Macaca fascicularis: one gene and its partner. The protein of the gene in region 1 purifies or fractionates together with the protein of each later gene. This does not show direct contact. Links are inferred from orthologs where the notes say so. Each region holds a gene or a part of one and is shown in the gene's direction. Other genes may lie near its edges.

Evidence for each region.
Region 2: the proteins of SCLT1 (region 1) and KIZ purify together in Homo sapiens (co-immunoprecipitation; 3 studies listed by BioGRID and IntAct, counting the BioPlex papers as one, with this or other methods). This does not show direct contact. The link is inferred for Macaca fascicularis from reciprocal best matches to the Homo sapiens genes SCLT1 and KIZ.

The regions. Positions count from the first base shown.
Region 1 is NC_088379.1:134,099,071-134,110,374, reverse strand, and holds the start of SCLT1 (sodium channel and clathrin linker 1), read left to right. Parts: upstream 1-4,465; 5' UTR 4,466-4,980; coding exon of another isoform or gene 4,981-5,014; intron 5,015-11,304. UniProt on the Homo sapiens protein: Adapter protein that links SCN10A to clathrin. Regulates SCN10A channel activity, possibly by promoting channel internalization.
Region 2 is NC_088384.1:66,156,293-66,166,951, reverse strand, and holds part of KIZ (centrosomal protein kizuna), read left to right. Parts: intron 1-4,760; coding exon 4,761-5,406; intron 5,407-5,756; coding exon 5,757-6,072; intron 6,073-10,659. UniProt on the Homo sapiens protein: Centrosomal protein required for establishing a robust mitotic centrosome architecture that can endure the forces that converge on the centrosomes during spindle formation. Required for stabilizing the expanded pericentriolar material around the centriole.

The DNA.
Region 1 (11,304 bases):
AGGATCAGAAAGTCTGATAACATGCTGTGTTAATGAGGGCATTGAGAAAAAATCATAATGTTGCTAGTGAGGCATAATTGATACAGCCTCTGTGAAGAGCAATACGTCAGTATCAAAATAAAAATGCAAATATCCTTCGACAAAAATAATTCTAGTTCTAGGAGTTACTATACCTGCACATATTCAAAATGCATAAGTGTTGAGGATATTTGTGGTAGCATTGTTTATAATAACAAAATGTTGGAAGCAACTTAAATACCCATCAGTAGAGGACTGGTAAAAAAAAAAATTATGCTATATCATACAATGAAACACTGTATAACTGCTAAAATGAATGAGGCAGCTCTAAATTAACATCTATGCTAAAATACGTTGTGAAGTGAAAAAAAGCAAGGTGCATTTATTTAATAAAAAGGAAGTTTATTTGCATATATGCTTGTGATGCATACACTATCTCAGGAAACACCAACAAACGAGGTGGTTACAGTGGTTGCTTCCCTGAAGGGAATTATCTGCCTGCAGATATGGGAAGGAGGAAGCTTTGCTTTCAACTTCATCACTTTTTAAAAACCTATTTGCATTTTATACTATGACAGACACGCATTACTATTTTAAGGCAACTGAATGGTTTAAAATTATTTTTTGGCCGAGCGCAGTGGCTCACGCCTGTAATCCCAGCACCTTGGGAGGCCAAGGCGGGCGGATCACAAGGTCAGCAGATCAAGACCATCCCGGCCAACACAGTGAAACCCCGTCTCTACTAAAAGTACAAAAATTAGCTGGGTGTGGTGGCACGAGCCTGTAGTTCCAGCTACTTGGGAGGTTGAGGCAGGAGAATCGCTTGAACCCGGAGGCAGAGGTTGCAGTGAGCTGAGATAGCGCCACTGCACTCCAGTCTGGTGACAGAGCAAGACTCCGTCTCAAAAATAAATAAATAAATAAATAAATAAATAAATAAATAAATAAATAAATAAAATAAGGCTGGTCTCCTAAGAGTATGGCGGCTGCCTCTTCTCCCCTTTATATTATATATGCTGAACGTTTCCGAAAAGTCATAATGCATATTATCAAGATGATTACTGTCCTGCAATTCAAGTTTGGCTGTTTAGACTTTTTTTTTTTTTTGAGACGGAGTCTCGCTCTGTTGCCCAGGCTAGAGTGCAGTGGCCGGATCTCAGCTCGCTGCAAGCTCCGCCTCCCGGGTTTACGCCATTCTCCTGCCTCAGCCTCCCGAGTAGCTGGGACTACAGGCGCCCACCACCTCGCCCGGCTAGTTTTTTGTATTTTTTAGTAGAGACGGGTTTCACCGGGTTAGCCAGGATGGTCTCGATCTCCTGACCTTGTGATCCGCCCGTCTCGGCCTCCAAAGTGCTGGGATTACAGGCTTGAGCCACCGCGCCCTGCCTGTTTAGACTTTCTTAATATAATGTTTATTGTTAATCTGTTTCTACTTTTAACCCCTATTCTTCAAATTGCTCTTAAAACAAGTCAAAAAAATAAATTTTCAATTATTCTGATTGCTTTCTCTTTACCTGGAAAGACCTCTAAAAGGAAACGAAGGAAGAGAAAGGAGACCGAACACTGGAGCATTAAGAACCCGAGAAAAGAAAAAAAAGGTCCACAAAGTTTAAAAGAAATAAATTATGGTAAAAGTGTTTTCTCAACCAAATGATCCGCAAGGAAAATTTCCAAATTCCTCTGCTCAACAAAATTTCTTTTAGTTTTTCTACAATAATGATTTCTTTTCAGTTTCCATACCGCCCCGAGGCCCCGCCCATTTATAAGAGAAACGAAGAAACGAAGAAACGAGGAAGTCAGCCTGACAGTGGGAGTACGCTCAATTAGCAGGAGACAACTGAAAAGTAAAATACTTTTCATTGTTTTCCAGAGATCAAGCGAAAGACAAGACCTCGCGACCGCGAAAGGAAGGTCAGAGAGAAGAGGGAATAACAAAAGAACACAGACCACGAAGCTTTTCTCAAAACACTGGCTTCCTCCTCTTAGCCGAGGTCAACGCAGAGGGCTCGGCTTTAGGCTCCACCCAGCTTCCTACACGTTCTGAGGGAGGGGCTTGGAACACTGAAGCAGCGACACTTGATTTTTCCAGGAAAGAAAAATGTTGAAGGGCCACAGGTGAACATCTGAAGACTTCTAATCGTTCCACTAAAGTTTGAGTGGTTTCCTAGAAGAAGGAAGGGTGCTTCAGAAATAAAAATACCGTGCAATAATTTGAAAATCAACTGTAAAGCATTAAGATTACAACAGAACATGTACAGAAATAATTCATTTAATACAACTACAGGCTAACTGGCTATATAAGCAAAAACTATAAATTATACCAGCTATAAATTAGATTATACTATACTCCTGGGGAGGCATGTTCATGGCGGTTAACAGTTGTGAAATTAGAACCATCCTGCCTGAGTTCAAATCGCAACTCAGGCACTTGCCAGCTGTGTGATCTATTCTGACCCTTGCTTAAACTTCTAACTTTGTATTCTTCATGGTACTTTGCACATAGTACTGGGTGCTCAATGTCAATTGATCAACCGAATTAATGTTAGTGAAAGTCACTAATTTTCAATCTATACAATTATCTATGAGTATGTACATTTCCACTTGTCATTCCTTGTATTCAATTTATACTAATAGATACTTTCCAGGAACATCTACTGAATTCTTTCATTCCTTCCATCAGATATTTAATCAATTCTGTGTTCCAGGTATTATGATGGAGCCTGGAGACAAACTACAAAACATGATAGATAATGCAGGAAGGAGCATGAAATAAGTACTAAGGTGGCACCTACCTTGGGAGAAGTGGATAGAGAACTCAGGACGTGTGAAAAGGAGAAACACGAGAGGGATCCTTTAAGGATAAGTGAAAACAATTTTGTTTCCTAATGATGAAACTTACGTTGAAAATACTCCATTAAAATTCATCTACTAAAATCTTGTAACCACAAACACAAAAACAAAAAACTATCACGATCATAATTATGATTATGTAAGCTAAAAAAAAATCGAGTGCAGACACAAAAATTTTCACCTGAGATACTCACTTTATGTAACTACCACTCATCATTATAGCCAGAAGGTATTTGCTTCCATCCAGTTTGGGTGTAAGCATAGAGTTAAGTCTATAATTATTTATTTGATGCCAAGTAGAAATACAGTATGACAATATACAAGGTTCAAATGTGGGAGAAGTTACAAGCAAGTCCTCGGAGAGTCAGTGAGATGTTTATGAAGAGTCATATACTGAACTCCATAAACGAGTTGGAGCTTGCACACTCAATTTTCCCTTTATGTAAAAAGTTTTCGTGTAAACATTATAGCTACTAAAAATCAGAACAAGTTCAATTATCCACGACCCAAAGCTAGATTAGACCTTTTCAATGATTATTAAGCTACACATCCATATTTAACAGCTAGTCTTTAGAGGAAGGGACCATCTCATTCTATTAACAGCGAGTATTGAGTCAGGCCTTCAGATGCCTAACTGCACATATTCGAATACATTTTTAAAAATTTCTTAACACATATCGCTAAGGTTACTTTATATGACATTATGAGTACAGGACAACAAAACTCTTAAGCTGTTAAACAGAAAGCCAAATCAAGCTGCATCTATGACATGCCTGTTTAGTGAAACTTTACTTCAATCCATAAAAATACAATTTATTAAAAGCGCAAAACTAGTGGCTAGCTTCAAATTAACATATTTGTTGCTAGTGGTGAGATTTCCTCCAATGTTAAATAATTAAAAAAAAAACATACGTTTTAAATCCAGACAAAATCAATTTTCAAAAATGAAAATTGTAATCTATCCACAAATGTAAGTTTTACCGTTTTGTTTTTTGCAAAAAAAAAAAAAAAAAAAAAAGTTCCTTTTATCTTTCCTTATATTTGAGGAAAAAAGCTTATCTTTGAAGAAATAGCTGCTGAATTTGCAAGATCTTTTGAATACTTCTAACTACATGCTTTATTACTACACAGTTAAATATTTAAACAACAGTTGTCTCCTTTGGCAGGATGGTACTTACCTTCTTGAGATGACCAAATCGAAACACAGAACTCCTCCAGAGGTACAGCCTTGGTGGGAGATTCTGAAGACCCAAGTCTGGCTTCTACCCCTAGCCGCATGAACCTGCATCCTTTACTTAGTCCAGAAAGGCTTAGTATATTAGTAACCCAAAGATAGTGAGGGCATTTAAACTGTGTATTTCATGCCCTACTCACGTTTGCATTTTGGGTTTTAAAAAAAAAAAAAAAAAAAAGAGGTTGGGCCCCACCACCTGGAGACACTGTCCCACCAGTTTGCCCGCCGCGCCAAGCCGGTGGCTCAGCTGTCACCTAGGTTCTCACGACTCCTCCTATTGCTTGACAGCCAGCCAATAGCGTGCTAGGACTCTAGGACGCGCGATGGCGTAAGCGCCAACGCCCGCGTGATGACGCAAGCGGCGTCACCGTCTCCAAGGAGTGGTTCGGGGCACCGGTTTCAAAGTCGCAGGGCGGGCCGAGTGGACTTCCGCTGCTGGCCTGGGGCTTCCCAGCCGTGTTGGCGTCGTCTTCTCCAACCCACGCCGCTCCGCGTAGAACGCCGCTCTCAGGCTGCCCTCCAGCTCCCGCGGCACTCTCCTAGGTGGCCCGACGAGACCCAGAGTGACCCGCGGGACGCCTGTATCGAGCAAGTCCTCTTCCCACCAGGGTGGGATTCGGTTGAACGTGGAACAGAATTCACCTGGCGCGCCCCCAGCAATCTTCAGTCTCTCTCCAGGGCCTGGGACTCGTCTGGGGCGCGGGGGAAGGAAGCGTGGCGGGGCTGTAGATGCCGCGTGAGTAGGATGCAGATTGCACCGCTGGAGCGCTTGACAACCAACCGAGCGTTGGCTTAGTTTTGTTTTCCCGCACAGCAAACTCTGTGTCTTTCAGAGGAAGGTAAAGGTGGTGAAAACTCCAAACTAAAATTGTATCGAAATGGCTACAGAAATCGACTTTCTGAGAGAGCAAAGTAAGCTCCATGTTTTTTTGAGACTTCATATTCACATACAATGTTTAATATCGTCGTCGTTGACCGACAAATCTTTTTTGAATGCTGGTTGGGTACATTTAAATTTGTAAAAATTTAAAGAAGTTAGTTGCAGGGAAAAAAAAAAGAGCTTGATGGTATACGTGAGGATGTGTGTATATTTAAGCAGAACCGTATGGTGGTACTTGTGGCTTACACAGAATTCTGCTAGACGCTAAACATGTTTGTTATGCTCCTCTCGTGCTCTGAAGATTAGAAGGCTAATGGCCAGCAAGAGTTTCCAAGTGTGCATTTAAAACCTAGGGGCCCAGCTCTCTGGCCATTTATTAAAAAGATGTTTATTGAACTCCTGTTTCTATTATGTACCAGACACTATAGAAGAACAGCTGCTGCAAAGATAAACAGGACAGTTTTTTACCTTAAGAATTTAATTTGGGGAGGGAAATGTATTCCAAAGTATATTGAAGTGGCAGCAACTGCTGGCTCTTTTGCCACAGTCTCAGGGATTGTTGGAATGATTAAATGAATATTAAAATGTGTAAAGGATTTAGAATAGTATCTGATACATTGTTAATTTATTGTTATGTAATAGTTAAATATTAACTGTTACACGATTATTATTAAAATATGTTCAAGGAAGGTGCTATTAGGCTGAAACGTGCAATACCAATATGAATTTAGTATATAAAAACTCTAGGCATCCCAAATAGAACAATATTGGCGACACTGAGGGCATTAGGAATATGCTTTGTTAAAGATTTGCAATAAGGCTGGTTTGAATGTAATATTGATGTAAATGGAATTGGAATATTTATATAGGGAAATGGCAAGTGCAGTCGAAGGAGTAGAAAGGGCTGGATGGTGAAGGGCCCTGTCTTCTCTGTGCTAAGGAGTTTGGACCACTGCATGGGTTATAGGAATTCAGTTGAGAGTGGCATGATCAAATTGTAATTTAGAAGGCCCAGTCTGATTTTTATGGGGAATGTGCATTATAGCAGAGTGCAGTTAGTTGACTACTGTCATCATTCAGATAAGAAGTAAACTAAGTTGGGCACAGGGAGATTGGGGATCAGGGGATTTGAAGGAAAGAGATAGAGGACGCTTCGTTTTTGCTTGAGCAACAGGGAAGTTAGGAAAAAGGTAGTAAGTCCCATTTTGGCAGCATTATAGACCAGTGGTTAAGAACTCAGTTAGCCTCTAGATTTAGTCTGTCTGGGCTCAGAGCCTACCTCTTTCCAGGTCTGTGACCTCGAGCAAGTTTCCTAGCTTTTCTGCACCTCAGTTTTCTCATTTGTGTAATGAGTATAAGAACACAAGAATCCTCTTGAAGTTCTGAGACTTAAATGAGATGATGAAAAAGCAGTGAGCATAGTGTCTGGCACATTTTAAGTGCATGGTATATGTTATCTAAAATAATTAATGACACTGTAATGACACAATAACATTAGCATTATTTCTTAGGTTTGTAGTGAGAATATCCCCATCCCATAAGAACAGCTAACTGGCCACCATAAGAGTGGTGTGGGACAGGAGTTGGTTGATGAGGAGTTTGGCTAGAGTCAGGAGAGTACTTGAAGCAGTGAGAAACTATTAATTTCATAAGAATGATCCAGCCAGAATTCTTAGATAAAACTGAGATCCAAATACCAGGGGGAAACAAATAAGACAACTGAAGCATAGTAACATTTTTTGAAAAATGAGTGGTATTTAATAGTTCCACAGAAGACAAGTGGAGTGCAAGAAGGAAATCTCAAGCAGAAGGAGCAGAAGAAGGAATGGTTCAAAGGCTTAAAATAACTGGTTTTATTCAGGGAATCAGAGCCTAGAATGGTAGCGTATGCATGAAGAGATAAGAATGAGAGTTGAGTGTCTGCGTTGCTCTGCTTTTTTCTTTAACTGGATTTTGCATGCCATTTGAAGGTGGTGGATTATTCCATTAAGTGACCCACCCAAATACCAGCCCAGATAAAGGTAGATGGTCTTCTTTCCACCTGCCTCTGACTTTTTCTACACTGATTTCTGTTGATCTCGATTGTCTCTTTGTTCCTTTTGAATTTGGGAGCCTAGGTCAAGACCATTTGTTTTGGTACTTCTCAACTGGCAACCCCACATGATATTTCCTCTGATAATTACTATTTCAGCTTTACATATCATAACAACAGGCAGCTCCACACTCAACCAGGCTACTAGTAGAGTAAGCTTGTAGCATATTTGCTGTGTACTGTTCTTCCACCTCTGTCTGGGAAAGATCAGTTAGTTTTTAGGAACCTGTTCAAAGAGGTACTTGTATTATCAATCTAAGGAACTAAGAATTCATTCATTAGTGGGGTGTGAGACTCACTGGCAGAGTGGTAATGGACTCATTTTTTTCTTTTCGTTCTCTTAACAGTGTTGGACCCAAACATTTTTAATTTTGATGAAATAATTCATCAATTTTTTCTTTTATGAATTGTGCTTTTGGTGTCATGTAAGAAATCATTGCCTAACCCAAGGTTGCAAAGATTTCTTTTATGTTTTCTTCTAGGAGTTTTATAGTTTTAGGTTTTACCTTTACATCTATGGTTCATAGAGTTAAAGTTTATACAAGGCATGAGGTAAGGATCCAGGCCACTTTTTTGCATTGGATGCCCAATTGGAAAAACTACCCTTTCTCCATTGAATTACTTTTGCTCCTTTGCAGTTGTTTATATATGTATGTATCTATTTATGAACTCTATTCTTTTCCACTGATTTATTTGTCTTATCTGGACACCAATATCCCGCTGTCTTAATTATATCAGCTTTATAGTACGTTTTAAAGTAAAATTGGTTCTTTTTTACCTCATTGATGTATTTCTTTAAATTTTCTCAGCTATACTTTGTAGTTTTTAATGTTTAGGTTTTGCACATCTTTTGTTAGATTTATGCCTGTGTATTGAAATTTTTGATACTACTGTAAGTGGTATTATTCTTTTACTTTCAGTTTCTGATTTTTCGTTGGTAGTATGTAGAAATAACATTTCTTTTTTATTATTATACTTTAAGTTCTGGGGTACATGTGCAGAACGTGCAGTTTTGTTACATAGGTATACATGTGCCATCGTGGTATGCTGCACCCATTAACCCGTCACCTACATTAGGTATTTCTGCTAATGTTATCCCTCCCTTAGTCCCCCACCCCCCAACAGGCCCCAGTGTGTGATGTTCCCCTCCCTGTGTCCACGTGTTCACCTTGTTCAGCTCCCACTTATGAGTGAGAACATGCAGTGTTTGGTTTTCTGTTCTTGTGATAGTTTGCTGAGAATGATGTTTCCAGCTTCATCCATGTCCCAGCAAAGGACATGAACTCATCCTTTTTTATGGCTTCATAATATTCCATGGTGTATATGTGCCACATTTTCTTTATCCAGTCTATCATTTATGGACATTTGGGTTTGTTCCAAGTCTTTGCTGTTGGGAATAGTGCCACAATAAACATACGTGTGCATGTGTCTTTATAGTAGAATGATTTATAATTCTTTGGGTATATACCCAGTAATGGGATTGCTGGGTCAAATGGTATTTCTGGTTCTAGATCCTTGAGGAATCGTCACACTGTCTTCCACAATGGCTGAACTAATTTACACTTGCATCAACAGTGTAAAAGCATTCCTATTTCTCCACATCCTCTCCAGCATCTGTTGTTTCCTGACTTTTTAATGATCGCCATTCTAACTGGCGTGAGATGGTATCTCATTGTCGTTTTGATTTGCATTTCTCTAATAACCAGTGATGATGAGCATTTTTTCATGTTTGTTGGCTGCATAAATATCTTCTTTTGAGAAGTGTCTGTTTATATACTTTGCCCACTTTTTGATGGGATTGTTTGCTTTTCTGTTGTAAATTTGTTTCTTTGTGGATATTAGACCTTTGTCAGATGGCTAGATTACAACAACTTTCTTCCATTCTGTAGGTTGCCTGTTCATTCTGATGATAGTTTTTTTTGCTGTGTAGAAGCTCTTCAGTTTAATTAGATTCCATTTGTCAGTTTTGGCTTTTTTTTGCCGTTGCTTTTGGTGTTTTAGACATTAAGTCTTTGCCTATGCCTACGTCCTGAATGGTATTGCCTAGGTTTTCTTCTAGGGTTTTTATAGTTTTAGGTCTTACATTTAAGTGTTTAATCCATCTTGAGGTGATTTTTGTATAAGGTGTAAGGAAGTGGTCCAGTTTCAGTTTTCTGAATATGGCTAGCCAGTTTTCCCAACACCATTTATTAAATAGGGAATCTTTTCCCCATTGCTTGTTTGTGTCATGTTTGTCAAATATCAGATGGCTGTAGATGTGTGGTGAGAAATAATGTTTTTTAATACTCTGCTCTGCAGCTTTGCCAAACTCATTCATTAGCTCTAGTAGTTTTGTAGAGTCTATCAGTAGTTTTATGTAGATAGTCTTGTCATCTGAAAATAAAAACAGTTTTATTTCTTTCTTTTCAATTTGGATGCCTTTTATTTGTTTTCCTTGCCTTATTGCAGTGACTAGAATCTCTGGTACAGTGTTGAACAGAAGTGATAGGAATACGCATCCATGTCCTGTTCCTGATCTTATGGGGAAGGCATTTATCTTTCAGAATTAGGTATGATACTAGTTGTAGGTTTTTCATAGATGTTCTTATGTTGAGAATGTTCCTTTCCATTCTTAATTTGCAGAGAGTTTTTATCAAAATGGATGCTGGATTTTTAAAAATGCTGTTCTGCATCCATTGAGATTATCAGATATTTTTTCATTTTTCATTTGTTAATAGAGTGAATTACATTGATTAATTTCAAATGTTAAAACCACCTTGCCTTTCTGGGATAAATTCTACTTGCTCATGATGTATAATCCTTTCTCGATTATTATTGAATTTTATTTTATAAATGTTTGCTTAAAATTTTAGTGTGTTCAGAAGCTTTTTTTTCTTTTTGGGACAGGATCTTCCTCTGTTACCCAGGCTGGAGTGCAATGGCACAGTCATGGCTCTTTGCAGCCTCAACCTCCTGGGCTCAAGCGATCCTTTTGCCTCAGCCTCTTGAGTAACTGGGACTGCAGGCACATGCCACCATATCTGGCTATTTTTTTTTTCTTTTTGTAGAGATAGGGTCTCCTTATGTTACCCAGGCTGGTCTTGAACTCCTGGGCTCAAGTGATCCTCTTGTCTCCCAAAGTGCTAGGATTATAGGCGTGAGCTATCATGCCCAACCTATGAAGCTTTTTTTCTTTTCTTTTTTTCTCCCCCCGCCCCACCATTTTTTTCTTTCTTGCGCAAGGATCTCACTGTCACCCAGGCTGGAGTTTAGTGGTACACTTGTAGCTCACTACAACCTGGAACTCCTAGGCTGAAACCTTCCACCTGCCTCAACCTCCTCAGTAGCTAGGACTATAGGCATGTGCCACTGCACCTGGCTAATATTTTTATTTTTATTTTTTTGTAGAAACCAGGTCTCCCTTTGTCACCCAGGCTGGTCTTGAACTCTTGGTTTTAGGCAATCCTCCCACTTCAGCCTCTTAAAGTGCCTTTTTTCCCCCCGCTTCCCAATATTTTTGTCTGGTTTTAATCTCAGGTAATGCCAGCCTCATAGAATTACTTGGAAAATATTTTGTACTCTTCAACTTTCTGTAAGAGTTTGTATAAAATGGTGTTATTTCTTCCTTAAATATTTGATAGAATTCACCAGTGAAGCCAACTGGACCTGAAGTTTTCTTTGTGAAAAAGTTTTAAAATACAAACTTAATTTCTTTAATAAATAAAGAGCTATTCAGTACTCTGTATTGTACTCGAGAAGAACCTCTACAGGTCTCACATTCCCTAGGGTTCTTTCTTTGTGCAGTCTTCTATACTTTGTCCTGCCAATTCTAGTTCGCTTAATCTCCACTACTTCTCAGCTCCACCTCTTAATAAGAGTCCAGTGATCTCCACTTGCATTTCCTCCCCCCGTATCATGGCCGTGGAAAGTCTCTTAAGTCATTAAGGTGGGGCAGTCATAGGGCTTACCTCATTTGTTTCATGTCTCTGATTATCATTGTCTGATGTCTAGTGTACTGTAAGACATTGATGATTTATTTTCTTGCTTTTTCATGTGTCAGGCAGAAAAGTGGTCCATGGTATTTCTTCTTGAGTATAAGCAGAAGTCCTATTCAAGTTATCCTACTTTTTGATGTCTTAAACTCAAGTATGTTACTCCTACTATAACTGTTCTTTGACCTCCTCAGACCTCTATCCTTTGAACCCTTCATTTTCTTTACATCCTTGACTGCTTCCTAGTTTGTTTTTACTG
Region 2 (10,659 bases), on another chromosome or scaffold:
CGGAGACATTTGAGAATTACTAATTGAGTGCAGTAACTCAGGGGCACGTCCTTTGGCCCTCCTCAGGTGTCTTTCTCATATCTGCAATGTGCCTTCTTTTGTGCTTTGGCTTAGCCTTTAGCAGATCAAAAGAGGAAGGTGCTTAGGCCTGCCATGTCCTCCCTGTCCTGGGTTAGTCATTGCTCTGGTGTTGGTGCATTAACACTTCATAAACTGGTCTTGAAAATGAAAAATTAAAGCCTTCTCAGACTTCTAAGTCTGATCACTGATTTGCCTCATGTCTCCACCAAATGACTGCTATTGCACAGCCACTCGGAGGCCTCAGCCCTTTTAGCCCTGCTAAAGTCTCCACAGTAGCCCATCCCTCAGAGCCATCTATTTACACAACTAGTTTTTTTTGTAACAGGAAAAATGAAAGTAGTTGTTAGATTACGGTAGTGGTAATAGATAATTTTTCCTGTTTTAAAATTTGTTTTTATTATATCAGTATAACATATATCACCTTTTTTATTACAAAAGGAATAGAAGACACCAGTATATTACAAATACTATTCATATTGATGAATCAGAATGTTGATTAATATCATTTTGCTATTTAAACCATATGGTATAATGGAAAATTCTTTAAAATGACATAATGGCCTCTTTGGATGGTAAAATGACAATATTCTATAAGGCAGGCTTGACCCAGCAATTTCAGTTCTAGAAAAGTGTCCTACTGATATACTTGCCTGTGTGCAGAGAGACATACACTCAGGGATAATCACTGCAGCATGATTTGGAGTGGAAGATGGTGGGAAACAAACCAATGTCCTTCAATAGCAGACTGTTTACATAAATTATGGTACATCTATAGAATAGGATAATATGCTGCTGTTAAAATTGAATATAATAAAAACTATAATTATGTAATGCAAAGTATGTCACCCTTTACGCACATACCTACTAGTGTATCAAGGTCCTTTCTGCAAGAAACTTAGAGTTGCTTTCTCTGGGGAGAACAGCTAGAGTACTAAAGGATCGTGGAGGTAGAACTTCCTTTTTCCTCTATACTTTTCTATCCTGCTGGATCTTCCTGTCCCTCCTCCCTCTATGGGGAGAGATGGGAGAGATGTACTTTTCCTAATTTTTTTTGAGACATGGCCTCACTCTGTAGCCCAGGCTGGAGTGCAGTGGTGCGATCATAGCTTACTGCAGCTTTGACTTCCTGGGCCCAAGCAATTCTCCTGCCTCAGTCTCCAAGTAGCTGGGACCACAGGTGTGTGCCACCATGCCTAGCTAATTTTATACATATATATATATATATATATATATATATATATATATATGGAGCTCAGCTCACTGCAACCTCTGCCTCCTGGGTTCAAGCGAAATCTCCTGCCTCAGCTCCCTGAGTATCTGGGATTACAGGTGCCCAAATATTTTTTAATTAAAAAAAATTTTTTTAATTTTTTATTTTGTAGAGATGTAGTCTCACTATGTTGCCAAGGCTGGTCTCAAGTTCCTGGGCTCAAGCAATCCTCCCACCTCAGCCTCAGGGCCAGGAACTCTTCCTAATCTCAGATTAGCTGCATAACTTAATTTCTCTTCTAAGGATTTTTTATTCATTTGTTCATTTTCTTTTTTTGTGACAGCTTTATAGTTTTTATTAAGAGTTGTACAGCCATAATCACAATCAATGTGAGTATATTTTCATTCCTGAAAAAGAAACCCCATACCTGTTAGCAATCACTCTTTACCTCCCCCGATTCCTTCTACTCCCCATCACCCACCCTAGCCATTCAGTCCCCAGCCTGGGGCAAACAGTTAACTACTTCCTGTCTCTAAAAATTTGCCTATTCTGAACATTTTCTATAAATGAAATCTTACAGTATATGGTCTTTTGTGACTGGCTTCTCATTTAGCATGATATTTTCGAAGTTCATCCATGATGTAACAGGTATCAGTAATTTATTTCTTTTCGTGGCTGAAAATTATTCTCTTGTGTGAATGTATTACATTTTATCTAGTCATCTAATGTTGGCCATTGGAGTTATCTCCACTTTTGGCTATCATAAATAATGTTGTGCACATCCTTGTACAATATTTTGTGTAGTCATATGTTTACATTCTCCATACCTCTGCCTAGATATGGAATTGCTGGTCAGATGATAACTCTGTTTAACTTTTTCAGGAGCTGCCAAACTCTTCTAAAGTGACTGCACCGTTTTATATTCCCATCAGCAGTGTATGATTCTAGTTTTTCCACATCCTGGACAACACTTGTTATTGCCTATTGTAGTGAATTTTTTTTTTCCCCCCCGAGACGGAGTCTCGCTCTGTCGCCAAGGCTGGAGCCGCAGTGGCCAGATCTCAGCTCACCGCAAGCTCCGCCTCCGGGGTTTACGCCATTCTCCTGCCTCAGCCTCCCGAGTAGCTGGGACTACAGGCGCCCGCCATCTTGCCCGGCTAGTTTTTTGTATTTTTTTAGTAGAGACGGGGTTTCACCGTGTTAGCCAGGATGGTCTCGATCTCCTGACCTTGTGATCCGCCCGTCTCGGCCTCCCAAAGTGCTGGGATTACAGGCTTGAGCCACTGCGCCCCGGCCGTAGTGAATTCTTATAATTTTATGTTGCCTCAGCAAACATTTTAAATCTAAGTTGAACCTTCTCATACCAGAAGCAGGACTGAGTCACCCCGACACAGTTGGCAGTTCCACCTTTTTCCCCAGTTCCTCAGTGTGGTTGGTCCAGATACCTGCCTTACACAGCTGCTCTCTGGTGACCACTTCCCTATGGGATAGCTGGATACAGCCTGCTTGACAGGCCCTTCTTACCTTCACATTCCCCATGGACCATATGCCACAGTGACCACCTCTCAGTCACTGGGTAACCTCCCAAAACTCATGCCTGCTTGCTTTAAACTCACCAGTTAAAACTCCCCATGCTGCCTTTGGGAAACCTGTTTGGATAACACCTGGGACCCATTAAAGACATTGGCTCATGTGTCCTTCCCCTCAAACCACTGCTTCCACCATGTGAGGACACGGGTCCCTTTTCTTCCTCTCTCTGCCTGCACTCCCTGACGTTTGTGTGCTGGCCTCCAGGTATGCCGTGTACTCTCCAGAACCTGTAAGTGATAATGTCTTTATTTCTATCTCATATTTCTCCTAATTATTGGAGGGATACTCTCCATCTTAAATATCCTAAATTAAAACGTCTATCTTTCTTAGTATAGCCATTGATATGGGCTGAATATTTGTGTCCCCCCCCCGCCCCCGGCACAATTCATGTATTGAAATTCTAGGCCGGGTGCGGTGGCTCAAGCCTGTAATCCCAGCACTTTGGGAGGCCGAGACGGGTGGATCACGAGGTCAGGAGATCGAGACCATCCTGGCTAACACGGTGAAACCCCGTCTCTACTAAAAAAAATACAAAAAACTAGCCGGGCAAGGTGGCGAGTGCCTGTAGTCCCAGCTACTCGGGAGGCTGAGGCAGGAGAATGGCGTGAACCCGGGAGGTGGAGTTTGCAGTGAGCTGAGATCCGGCCACTGCACTCCAGCCTGGGGGACAGAGCGAGACCCCGTCTCAAAAAAAAAAAAAAAGAAAAAAAAGAAATTCTAATCCCCAAGGTGTTGGTTTTTGAGGATGAGGACTTTGGGAAGTGATTGAATCAAGGGGGCAGAGCCTTCATGGGCACAATAGTTTCTTTATAAAAGAGGCCGGGGAAATTTGCTTGCCCCTTCCACCCTGCGAGCACACAGCAGAAAGATGCTGTCTGAGAGAAAGCAGTTCCTTACCAGACCCGGAGTCTACTGGCGCCTGCCTCGATCTTGGACTTCCCAGCCTCCAGAACTATCAGAAACAAATTTCTGTTATTTATACACTGTCTAGTTTATGATATTTTGTTACAGCAGCATGAACAGACCAAGACAGCCATCATAGTGGGTAAAGTGATATCTTACTGTGCTTTTGAATTATGTTTCCCTAATGAGTAACGATAGTATCATTTTATGTGTTTATTGGCCATTCATATATCTTCTTTGGAGAAATGTCTATCTAAATCCTTTTCCCACTTTTAAGGGCTATTTGTCTTTTTATTACATAGTTATATGACTTCTTTATGTATTTTGGATACTAGACCCTTATCAAATACATAATTTATAATATTTTCTCCCATTGTGTGGGTTTTCACTTTCCTAATGATGTCTTTTCAAAGCATGTATTTCTTTTTTCAAAAACATATATTCTGTACTTTCTTTTTTTTTTTTTGAGATGGAGTCTCCAGGCTGGAGTGCAGTGGCATGATCTCAGCTCACTGCAATCTCTGCTGCCCGGGTTCAAGTGATTCTCCTGCCTCGGCTTCCCAAACAGCTGGCATCACAGGCACCTGCCACCATGCCCGGCTAATTTTTGTATTTTTAGCAGAGACAGAGTTTTACCATGTTAGCCAGGCTGGTCTCGAACTCCTAACCTCAGGTGATCTGCCCACCTTAGCCTCCCAAAGTGCTGGGATTGCAGGCATGAGCCACCACACCTGGCCTACTTTCTTTACTATGTTGGTTTTGTGAACTATCATTGTTATTAAAATTAAATTGTATGGACTTTACTGCTTTTTGCTCATTCATTATGTAGGAAGCCATGAGTTTAATAAAACGTGGTAGGTGCTGATTTCAGTAATCATGCTTTGTTTGACCTCCTTTCATTTCCGGGGGAAAAAAAAAAAACCACCTAATTGTTTATACACAATATGTTTAGCTCACATCTCTTTTGGTGTTGCAGGTTGCAGTGCAGGAGGGAATTAACTCAGGAACAGCCATGTCAAGAGGATTGTATCAACCAGCAACAATCTTTATGGGCCGCCAAATGTCAGCCGTCTCAAGCATGGGAGATTTCAGTACAGAGCACAAATCTCCCCAACCAACAAAGAACTTTTCAATTCCTGACCCACATTCACACCGACAGACAGCCCAGAGAAGTAATGTGACAGACAGCTGTGTAGTACAAACTAGTAATGACACACAGTGCTTAAATAAGTCTGACAACATAGATGGAAAGGCATCTCTTCAGATTGGTGAGAAAACGCCAGTCACAGCCAGTGTATTGTCTGAGGAGGAACAAACTCATTGCTTGGAGATAGGAAGTAACACACGTCATGGCAAGAGTAATTTATCTGAAGGCAAAAAGTCTGCTGAACTCAATTCCCCGTTACAGGAAAGATTAAGTCCAGAGAAGAGAACCACTGGTTTAAAGTGTGACAGTTCCAGCAGATCAGAGGGATCAGAGGGAGAAATACTGACACGGGAACATATTGAAGTTGAGGAAAAAAGAGCCAGCCCGCCAGTCTCTCCGATATCAGTTTCGGAATACTGTGAATCTGAAAATAAGTGGTCTCAAGAGAAGCATTCTCCTTGGCAAGGTGTTTCAGGTGGGATGAGAGGCTGAGTTTGGTTGCTGAGTTTTCTGGGTGGTAGTGATCTTATGTAAGGACAAAATATACTCTCTAATTATCTCTCTTTGTCATAAAATAGTATCTTTGCCAACAAAATCCATTCTAATGAACTCTTAAAAATGTACATGCAAGTGAATTTGCTGATTTTTAAACCCGCTGTGATTTTTTTTTAAACATTTGAAAATATGTTTAAGCTTTTAAGTTCCGTAATGAATTGTGTGTGGGCTGCTTCTCCGTGTTTTTAACTGATGAGTGATTCTGCTGTGTGTTACCTTGCTTCCCCCTGAAGTCAGTGATTGGTAATCGATTCATGTCCCCACTTGCAGATCATCTTGCTCACGGGGACCCAAAGTCACAAAAGCCCTTCAGAAAAAAGCAGGAAGAGGAGGAGGAGGAAAGTTGGAGCACCAGCAGTGACCTCACTGTTTCAATAAGTGAAGATGACCTGTTTTTAAAGAGCCCAGAACCACAGCCAAATCCAGGTGGCAAGGTGGAGGGAGAAGATGGAATAGAGGCCTTAAAATTAATCCATGCTGAGCAAGAAAGAGATGCCCTATCCACTGAAAAAAATAATTGTATTTTGCAAACCCTAAGCTCTCCTGATTCAGAAAAGGAATCCTCCACTCACGCACTAACTAGAGAGTAAGCCATTCAATTTTTTTTTTCTACTGTTCTGTTTTTAATTGTAGACATTTCTAGAGACCATTCCACTGGGAATGTATTATTGAGCACTCAGCCATGAATGTGTAAATTCCTTAAGTCTCATAAGTAATCTTTTAGGCAAGACCTAATTTTCTTTCTGTCCTTCTTTCTTCTTTGCTTCCTCCCTTCCTTCTTTCTTTAACAGAAAAGCTTTAAACGTTTGGATATAATTGAGTTATGGTGATTGCAGCTTGTAATTATATACACACAATCCCTGGTTAACATAATAAGTCATTCCCCAACACCCTACTCTCAAGCCTTTCAGAAAATAAATCTGTTTTGAAGTTTTGGTAGCACAGAAGGTGACAGTTAAACTTACTAGGAATGCAGTATTAGAGTCTGAGAACTTTATGTCTAATTAATTTGCTTAATCCTTATATTCCTTGCCGTAGTATCATTTTTGTCATCTGATTAAATATGAGTTAATAAGCTCTTCCAATTGTATATATAAGCCAGATTTCCTTTTTTGAATGTAAATAGGAAACATTGGAATCTCTAATATTAAATGGGAACATCAGCGTTATACATTTTGAGAACTTACATTATCCAACTGATAAAAATTTATATATGCTTTTGTGCTACTGATCGGAGATGCTAGAAGAAAACGTTGTAGAAAGTTCTTGTGTATCTACTATGTAGAAAACTTGTTAACTGTTGAAAACTGATTCTGTGCTGAAAAATGGCATTAATAACATCAAATCTCTTTTAGGAGTAGAAAGAACCTAAGTAAACAACCTAAGGTAGATCTCACCTTTTACAAATGAGGAAACGAAGGCCGGGGCAGAGTGGAGTCATATAGTTCTGCTGGATCTGCTGGGGCAGAGCACCCCGCACCCTGTCTGCCTGAATGTCACACCACTGCCCCACCTCCAGAATTTTCTGTTACACCGTAATGCTGGTCACCCTTTCATTTCCACAAAGCTGGCAGGAGTGAAAAGCCAAGTGGGCATTTTTGTATAGGAGGGCATATGTTCTCTTTTAGAACACCATTGTACCTTTTAATATATTGCCTCTTACCATTCATTGTCTACTTATGGTGAAAAGTTTATTAATGGGCTTTAATTTATAGATTGTATCCAAACTGATGTTCAGGAAATATTTATTAAGAGCATATCCAAGTAAAAGTTCTTGCATGAGGGATGGAAGAACCGACATGGTTCCTGTCATTGAGAAATTTGATTTATTGGAGAGGCAAGCCAAATGGATTTTTCTAGTAATAATACTTTCATCAAAGAGACACAGGTAATGCATATTACATCATCAGAAACTTTATTACTGGAGATAGAATGTTATCTATCTCTAGTTTTGTGTTTGTGGGCTTATTTTTATGGCATGATGGACCAGTTAGTACTTTGGTAGGCTGACAAGGAGACTAATATACTTACCCAGGACTCAGTCTTTTTCTGAGGTGAAAAAAATTGGGTATGTGTATGGAATTCCTACTTAACATTTCTCTAAGAGTCAAGAATGTTCATTCTGTCTCCATTCGAAAGACTTTTTAAAAATGATCTTGGAGGCATAAAGTCAGGCTCCTTGGAGTTTTGGCATATAGTTTTCCAGTATTTATTGGAAAATATGGGCATGTAGGGAATTTTGAGTATTTTTCTTAATAAAATACCCCTAGAATGAAAATGTCAGTCAGCAGTGGTTGTTTTTGTGTCTATATTATCAAATTTGAGCCTACTGATTTTCTGGGTAAAAATATTCTCCAGGAATAGGTCGAAGGTGGTTTTAAATGAATGCTAGTTAACTCCCTGACATCACCACTGCATTTGAGGCCCCACATTTTGTTAATTTATTGTTTAGTTGGAGCTCTTCTCCTTTGCTCTTAGGGTTAATTATTAGTCTGAGACATAGCATCATATTTATAGAACTAACACTATAACCTCAACAGTTCAGTATTTCAGTTGACTTTAGGGTCTGTTGGGGGCCTGGAGAAAAATCACTTGAATGAATTTAATTAGCAAAGATGCATAAATGGGACAAAGGAGGACACACAGGAGCATATGATCTGGAATGTAGAATCTGCACAACATCTTGAAGTCTTTGAAGGAGGAAGAGGAGGGAAAGAGCAAATAGGGTCTGGAGGAAAATGCAAGAAGGAATGCAGAGCAGAGAACACAGAGGACATGGGAGGGGCAGAGCAAAGGACCGCATGGGTGAGGAGGGCCTTTTGTAGTTAAGGTTCAAAATGTCACCTAGGGTGAGCTTGAGAAAGGCCTGGAATATCAGGTTAATGAATTTGGAATTCACTCTCTATGCTTTGTAGAGCTGTTCAAGGTTATTTTAGGAGGAGGATAGTGTGATGAGGCTTGATTTAGGATTAACCTGACAGCGTTAGTTCATTAGGATTAATCATCAGTGTGGTAGGCAGAAGTGCAGATGGCCCTGAGATTCTCTCTTCCTGTTGTTTGTGCCCTGTGTAATCCCCTTGCCTTGAGAGTGGGCAGGATTGGGAGTCTGGTGGATTTTACTCCTGTGATGAAGCTGTCACGTGACAAAGATGAAGGATTTTGCAGATATAATGAAGGTCCCAAATCATTTGCCCTTGAGCTAGTCAAATGAAAATTATTCAGGCCGGGCGCGGTGGCTCAAGCCTGTAATCCCAGCACTTTGGGAGGCCGAGACGGGCGGATCACAAGGTCAGGAGATCGAGACCATCCTGGCTGACACGGTGAAACCCCGTCTCTACTAAAAAATACAAAAAACTAGCCGGGCGAGGTGGCGGGCGCCTGTAATCCCAGCTACTCGGGAGGCTGAGGCAGGAGAATGGCGTGAACCCGGGAGGCGGAGCTTGCAGTGAGCTGAGATCCGGCCACTGCACTCCAGCCTGGGCGGCAGAGTGAGACTCCGTCTCAAAAAAAAAAAAAAGAAAATTATTCAAGGTGGACCTGACCTAATCAGATGAGACTTTAAAAGAGACTGGCCCTTACTGAAGCCAGTGGCACAATCTCAGCTCACTGCAACCTTTGCCTCCTGGGTTCAAGCTATTCTTCTGCCTTAGCCTTACAGATAGTTGGGATTACAGGTGCCTGCCACCACGCCTGGCTAATTTGTTTTGTTTTGGTTTTGGTTTTTTTTGAGATGGAGTTTTGCTCTCGTTGCCCAGGCTGGAGTGCAATGGCACAACCTCAGCTCACTGCAACCTCTGCCTCCTGGGTTCAAGCGATTCTTCTGCCTCAGCCTCCCGAGTAGCTGGGATTACAAGCATGTGCCACCATGCCCGGCTAATTTTTGTGTTTTGTTTTGTTTTGTTTTGTTTTTAGAGAGACTTGGTTTCTCCATGTTGGTCAGACTGGTCTTGTACTCCTTACCTCGGGTGATCTGCCCGCCTCGGCCTCCCAAAGTGCTGGGATTACAGGCATGAGCCACTGCTCCTGGCCAATTTTTGTATTTTTAGTAGAGACCTGGTTTCACCATGTTGGCCAGGCTGGTCTTGAACTGCTGACCTCAAGCGATCTGCCTGCCTTGCCCTCCCAAAGTTCTGGGATTAGAGGCATGAGCCACCACGCCCAGCCTGAAGCCAGGGAGAGTTAAAGCAGCTAAGATACTCTCCTGTTTGCCTGAAGAAGCAAACTGTCATCTTGTGGGAAAGACCACATGACAGGAAATGGCATGCAGCCTCTAGGGGCTGAGGGCCTCGGTCCTACAGCCACAAGGAAATTGATTCTGCCAATAACCAGTGAGCTTGGAAGAGGTCCCTGAGCCTTAGATGAGATTGCATCTCCAGCAGACACCTTAATTTCAGCCTGGTGAGACCTTGAGCAGATGACCCCACTAACCCAGATCCAGACTCCTGTCTCATGGGAACTATGAAATAATAAATGTGGTAATTTGTGATACAGCAATAAGAAAATTTAATACAACTCAGTTGAAGAATTGGAAGCAAGGATTGTATGGATAGAAGTGTCTACCCATAATGACTGGGAACAGGCTGAATTGGACATATTCAGGGTTCCTTGTGGGAACACATGGTAACAAAGTAGCTGAGCAAGTGATTCAGCAGCCAAGGTAACCTGTGCTTCCCCTCACCTTGTACCTTCACCATCTGAGCAAATGCATTTTCATACTCAGGTAAGCAGTAGTGGAACATTATAGACTGATAGGGACTTTAAAAGTGGGTGTCCCTGTCTGCATTCACCAATAAGCAGTTTCTCATGCTAGTGGGTTTTTTGTTTGTTTCGCTTTTTTGGGGGGGAGTGTGGGGGTGGGGTTGGAGTTTCGCTCTCGTCACCCAGTCTGGGGTGCAATGGCACGATATCGGCTCACTGCAACCTCCATCTCCCAGGTGCAAACTATTCTCATGCCTCAACCTCCCAAGTAGCTGGGATTACAGGCGTGTGCCAGCACATCCAACTAATTTTGTATTTTTACAAAATTAGATGGGGTTTCACCATGTTAACCAGGTTGTTCTCGAACTCCTAACCTCAGGAGATTTGCCTGCCTCCAGAGTGCTGGGATTACAGGTGTGAGCCACTGTGCCCAGCCTGCTTTGTTTTATATATCAATGCATAATGACATGTACTC